2 linked regions of the Macaca mulatta genome follow. The protein of the gene in region 1 interacts with the protein of each later gene in a pairwise test. Links are inferred from orthologs where the notes say so. Each region holds a gene or a part of one and is shown in the gene's direction. Other genes may lie near its edges. The genes, in order: CCNK and CDK18.

The links.
Region 2: the proteins of CCNK (region 1) and CDK18 interact in binary tests that used the Homo sapiens proteins (3 or more experiments, as listed by UniProt). The two-hybrid records come from large-scale screens. The link is inferred for Macaca mulatta from reciprocal best matches to the Homo sapiens genes CCNK and CDK18.

The regions. Positions count from the first base shown.
Region 1 is NC_133412.1:172,832,307-172,836,123, forward strand, and holds the end of CCNK (cyclin-K), read left to right. Parts: intron 1-2,054; coding exon 2,055-2,680; 3' UTR 2,681-3,410; downstream 3,411-3,817. UniProt on the Homo sapiens protein: Regulatory subunit of cyclin-dependent kinases that mediates activation of target kinases.
Region 2 is NC_133406.1:63,289,812-63,292,462, forward strand, and holds part of CDK18 (cyclin-dependent kinase 18), read left to right. Parts: exon of another isoform or gene 1-270; coding exon 271-368; intron 369-597; coding exon 598-703; intron 704-796; coding exon 797-839; intron 840-1,527; coding exon 1,528-1,618; intron 1,619-1,868; coding exon 1,869-1,946; intron 1,947-2,580; coding exon 2,581-2,615; 3' UTR 2,616-2,651. UniProt on the Homo sapiens protein: May play a role in signal transduction cascades in terminally differentiated cells.

The DNA.
Region 1 (3,817 bases):
CCCAATTCAATATGAACTTTACTTAAAAAAATGCTTGCGGCTGCTCGTGAAGCATTTAAGGAGCACCTCCTCGCCAAGTACAGTTCCCCTGGTCCAAGCCTGGGGCTGTGCCTTCACTGAGGAGACGGATGGTTCACCTGGGGATCCCGGGGCGGCCAGAGAGGTGCTGCTGCCTCCAGGGCACTGAGTAGCTGCTGTGGAGGCCTCAGAGCTCTGCTCCCTCCCACATTACAGACAGCCAGGAGTAGGCCTGGGACTTGAGTGGGACCTGGGAACCAGATACACTGCCAGGAGGCCATGGCTGGAAAGAGCAGGGCCTGGGAGGCACAGTAAAGCTGGGCCACGAGGAACGGAGGGAAGCACGCTTCCTGGGAGGCCCTAGACCATGGGAAGAGGTGTTCAGGTCAGCAGTGATGTTTAGGGAGGGGTTTGGTGGCAGTGTATGGCACTTGGTCAGGAGCAAGTGTACAGAGGGAATGGGGTGCCGAGGATAGACCCCCACTTGCTGTTCGAGCTCAGTCACACAGCACAAGGGCGGGTGCACTGGTGACTTGAAGATTCAGGCTGCAGGGTCGAGTGTTGGAAGAGTTGGCTTCTGCAAGGTAGAGGAGCAGGCCTGTGGCCCAGGTGGCTGTGGAATGACACACAGGAGGCATTGAAGGGTGTCAGCGCTTTTCTGCACCTCTTTTTTAGTCAGCTTCTGGAACCACAGGGCATCTGGCCCTGACCTGGAGCCAAAGCCAGTTCTCTAAGGCCAGGCATATATGGCCTTCCTGCCCAGTGGCTGGCGAGGGCTGATCTGCACAGGCAGTCCCCAATGGCACACCTGTTACCAGCCCAATCAATCCTGCTCATGCTCGCTTTGGCAAGATCAAACGGGTTGTGTGCCAATGGCCACGTCTACACAACCAGGATGTCATGCTCTGCCTTCCCTAACCCAAGTGCCTGGGGAACCAGAAGCATCTTCATGGCCTTTGTCCTCTTTATGTTCTCTGGAACCAGAAATGTTGTGCCTATGGTTTGTCTCCTGTGCTGCCTTGGGAAAGGACACTCATTCTGTGTGTTTGGCTACTTGTGGTGGGGTGTTCCGACGCCATTTTCCAGGGGTCTGATGGTGACCAAGAGATCACAGGCCAAAATGTGTTAAATAAGGCTTTGGCGGAAGGGGGCATGAGGGCTCATGGGCTGGGAGGCGCTGCGGGAGGGGCCTGAGGCTGGTTCTGAGCACAAGTATCTTGGGTGTGCTTGACACCTAGTGCTGCCTATCCCTGCTGCATACACACAGCAGCACGCACACACACAGCAGCACGCACGCACACAGCAGCACGCACACACACAGCAGCACGCACACACACAGCAGCACGCACACACACAGCAGCACGCACACACACAGCAGCACGCACACACACGAAGCATGCACACACACGCAGCACGTAGCACGCAGCACGCACGCGCAGCACGCTTGCACACACTCCTCTCAAGGAGGCTGCTATCTGAGAGTACGCAGTGGGGTTTGATCTAACCCCTCTTGAGTAGAATAGAACCTGAATTGCTGCTTCGATGGGTACATTGGGAATGTCAGAGACTTGTACGGAATTATTTTAAATGCCATCACATTCATTTGACCAACTCTGAGGCTTTCTGCAAAATGCCACTGCTGCAGACAGGAGTTCAGTGTGGCCCTGACTCTTGGGGTCAGTTTCTGAAGGCAGAAAAACAGAGGAGCCCCCACACATTTTACACTAGGAAGAGGGGGCTGGGGCCAGGGCACAAGGGGGCTTCGTGTGCTGCCGAGACTGCCTGCGGGTGGTGTGGTTAGGGCTGAGGGAGGGAAACCCCAGCTCATCACAGACAGGGTGGAGGGCCTTTTTGACAAATGGTGGGGAGACATCTGGTGGCATCAGGACATGGGGAACGGGCCCATGTGTTGGGCCACAGAGGAAGGGGCAGCTGCTCCCTGCTCCTCTGTAAAGATGGCCCTGAAGGGCCAGGAGGCACTGAAAAAGCAGCTATTGCTTGCAGAGGCCGGGCACCAACACATCTCTCTCCTGCAGACCGGAAGCCTCCCCTCGCTGCTGCCTTAGGTGAGGCTGAGCCGCCGGGCCCTGTGGATGCCACTGACCTCCCCAAAGTCCAGATTCCTCCTCCGGCTCACCCGGCCCCTGTGCACCAGCCACCGCCGCTGCCACACCGGCCCCCGCCCCCGCCGCCCTCCAGCTACATGACTGGGATGTCCACCACCAGCTCCTACATGTCTGGAGAGGGCTACCAGAGCCTGCAGTCCATGATGAAGACCGAGGGACCCTCCTACGGCGCCCTGCCCCCCGCATACGGCCCACCTGCACACCTGCCCTACCACCCCCATGTCTACCCACCCAATCCGCCCCCACCACCTGTGCCTCCTCCCCCAGCCTCCTTCCCCCCACCTGCCATCCCGCCCCCTACTCCTGGCTACCCTCCACCCCCACCCACCTACAACCCCAACTTCCCACCCCCACCTCCACGCCTGCCCCCTACCCATGCAGTCCCCCCTCATCCTCCTCCAGGCTTGGGCCTGCCTCCAGCCAGCTACCCACCTCCTGCCGTGCCCCCTGGAGGACAGCCCCCTGTGCCCCCGCCCATTCCCCCACCTGGCATGCCTCCAGTTGGGGGACTGGGGCGGGCAGCCTGGATGAGATAACGTGAGCCTTTTTTTCCCCCTTTGTTTTTTTTAACAAGTTTTTCTAATCGACTTGCAGAGTAGTTGAAGTGGGTAAGCAGCAGGGTACCTTATATAATGCGCGACAGTTGCAGTATGGGAAGAATGGACCAGGCCCCTGGGATAAAATCAGGGTGGTCCTCACATCTAGAGGACGGGGACAGCCAGCTTTCAGAGTAGCCTCATCAGCGCCCTTGCAGTCTGACTGTGTACACTTGGTTCAGCTAATGTCTGAGAGTCCTGCACTGGGTTACTTTATACTAGTGAAGATGTTAACCAGCCATATTGGCTCAATAAATAGCTTCGGTAAGGAGTTAATTTCCTTCTAGAAATCAGTGCCTACTTTTCCTGGAAACTCATTTTAAATAGTCAAATTCCATCTGAAGTCAAGCTGTTGTCATTTTCATTCAATGACGTTCTCTCCCATGACACCCAGAAGGGTCAGAAGAACCACATTTTTGATTTATAGATGTTTGCATCCTTTGTATTAAAATCATTTTGAAGGGGTTGCCTCGTTGGATGGCTTTTTTTCCTCCAAGGAGAAGGGGAGAAATGTACTTGGAAAGTAATGTATGTTTACATCTATTTGCAAATTCCTGTACATAGAGATACATTTTTTAAGTGTGAATGTAACAACATACTGTGAATTCCATCTTGGTTACAAATGAGACTCCTTCAGTCAGTTATCCAAATAAAAGCAGTTCTGAAACTATCCCTTTCTCTGTTAATGGGTGGAAGGTAGGGCTCCAGGCCTTCGCAGTCCCCGGGTGATAACATTGTACAAGCCCCTCCTTCCGGACCCTGGGCACCGGGAGAGGCCTGGCTGCAGTTCACAGGAGCCAGAGCCAACCCCACTGCCTCCCAGGGCACTCTGGGTGGATCGGCACATTGGCCTGCCAAGCCAGCCTGCACCCATCCTGTGCCTGCCTTGGTTTCCTTTGGAGGACCTGGTTGAGTTCCAAACCAGCTTGAAACTTTCAAGCCTTGCTGCATAGAACACAGACGGGAACACAGGCTTGGGTTTGAAACCCTTTCCACTTCTGGCCTGCGATGAGACGGAGGCAGCTGGAGGAGCAGCGGCCTCGCCATCCACCTTGAGGGGCCAGGGCTGTGTCTGTG
Region 2 (2,651 bases), on another chromosome or scaffold:
CACATGGGCGCTGGCTGCACAGACCCAAACCTCACAGAGCGAAAGGGGAGAGGTCGCAGCTTTCCCGAGCCCAGGGAAGCCCCCAGAGAGGGGCTGTAGTGGGGGCTGGGCAGTTCTAGGAGCCTCCACTGCCCTGGGCCACCCCTCCGCCGCCAGAGCCACGACCCCTGCAGCCAGCTGTGGCAGGTCGTCGTTGGTGCCCTGGTGGAGCAGCCCTAGGAAGGGCGGCCGCCCCTGCCTGATGCCGCCCCTGCCCCTTGCTCCCCGCAGGGGCGTGGGCTGCATCCACTACGAGATGGCCACAGGGAGGCCCCTCTTCCCGGGCTCCACAGTCAAGGAGGAGCTGCACCTCATCTTCCGCCTCCTCGGTCAGTCTCCCGCTGCTCCGCCCCTCTCACCACCAGGGGGCGCTGGAACTCCGTCCAGCCCAGGCGCCGAGCGGGACGGGGAGGAGCGGCTCGCCTAGTTCTCTCCCGGGCGGGGACCCCCCTGTGGCCTCGGCCATCTTTGCTCCCACCTGCTACGTTGCATTCCTTTCAAGTCGGCCTTGGCCCTGGGCCTCACTCAGGCCCTCCCCACCTTCTCTCGTCTCCCCAGGGACCCCCACAGAAGAGACGTGGCCGGGCGTGACCGCCTTCTCCGAGTTCCGCACCTACAGCTTCCCCCGCTACCTCCCGCAGCCGCTCATCAACCACGCGCCCAGGTAGCCCCGGCGCCCGCACCGCCCCTCCTGCTGTGGCCCTGGCTCTCCCACCCCCGCTCAGGCACAGCCTGTGTCCGCGCCTTCTCCTTGCAGGTTGGATACGGATGGCATCCACCTCCTAAGCAGCCTGCTCCCGGTGAGTGACCTCCCGGCGGGGCCCAGGGAGAGGCAGCCAAAGAGCCGAAGTCCCCGTGCCCCATGCTAGGCCTACGTCCCAACTTCTGTGGCTCGTGTGTTCACACGTCTTTGAAACATCCCTGTACTCTCCACCCCAAGGCCCAGGGGAGCGCTGGCCTCCATACACATCCTCTGGAGTCTCTGCACTGCGAGCCCAAACCGTTACTAGCTGTGTAGCTCTGGGCAAGTTACAGAGCTCCTCCATGTCTCCGTTTCCTCCACTGCAAAGTGGGATTAATTCCTATTTTATAAGCTGGCAGTGAGGATACATTGAGATGACAGGACACACTTAGTGTGGTGCCTGTCTTCTAAGGCACACGGTGAAGGGTCGTTATCGGCACAACGCTATGTTCTCCTTCTAATCATGGTTGGTTTGCATCTGTATTTCTATCTCAAGAGAAGGTCACTGTCCTCAAGTTTCATTTCTGGTTTTTTCTGGTGGCTGGAGACCAAGGAGCCTTCCCCTGAGTCTTGAGATGGCTTGAGGTTGGATTTGTGGTAGGGGCTGGAGGCTGACCTAGGGCTTCTCCTGTTAGTCTCAAGCCCCACCCACCTTGGTGCTCTAACCAGCACAAGAGTCCTGCTGCTCAGAGGGTTCCCTGCAGCCCCCCAGCCAGGGCCCAATAGCCCCACCCTGTGCCTTTCAGTATGAATCCAAGAGTCGCATGTCAGCAGAGGCTGCCCTGAGTCACCCCTACTTCCGATCTTTGGGAGAGCGTGTGCACCAGCTTGAAGACAGTGAGTGTTGTCCGGGCAGGGAGCAGGGCCACCCAGAACCAAGGAAAGGGGGTGGTGAGTGTGGGTAGAAGAACCAGAACAAAGAGGCCAGAAGCCCCAGGCCCAGCTGAGCAGCCCTCGGCACCTGGCCTCCCCTGCTGGGGTTCTCACTGCAAACTGAGGGGGCAAACAGTGGAAATGAGACGCTGCCTCCAGGGCTCAGTTGGTCCCGCTCCACCCAGCTCTCTCTCCACCATGTCCTCTCCCCCAGCTGCCTCCATCTTCTCCCTGAAAGAGATCCAGCTCCAGAAGGACCCAGGCTACCGAGGCTTGGCCTTCCAGCAGCCAGGTAGGGGCTTGTGCTCTCCTGGAGCCCTTCCCTTGTTAGTGGAAGCCAGGACAGGCTACCCCTCCCCAGTGGGGAATCCCATGGTCCCTCCGCCACTTTCTTCCCTTTGGAGTCTTCAGGGAGCAGAGAAGGGGTTGGTTTCTCCTGCCTAGGCTTCCTCGTCCAGCTCTTCCCTCTTCAACCCTCACCCCAGACAGGACATTGTGTTTGACAGTAGCCCTGGCAAAGAGGCATGCTGTCTCTGGTGCATTCTCTTTGCAAACTCTGAGCTCTCTAATCAGATTCCATCCTGGGAGAACGGTCCTTTGTTCCTACAACAGTCAATGGCCTTGGACATTGACAAATGCTTCCCATGCATCCTGTCCTTTAATCCTTAAAACACCCCTTGAAGTTGGTACTACTACTGTTCCCCATTTCATAGTCAATGAAACTGAGGCTCTGGGAGGTTAAATCACAAGACATGCAGCTAGTAAGTAGCAGAGATGGGATTTGACACCAGGTCGGACCCACTCCTGTGTGCATGCCCTTGCTTGCTCTGTCAGAGCAGCTCTGGGGGACAGTGACTGTCCCTGCTGGTCTGGGGTATGCCTTGGCCCAGCCTCTTCGCTGCAGCCCCACCTCCTCCATTCTCCAGGACGAGGGAAGAACAGGCGGCAGAGCATCTTCTGAGCCGCGCCCACCCTGCCGTGGCCCAAAGGACAAGAG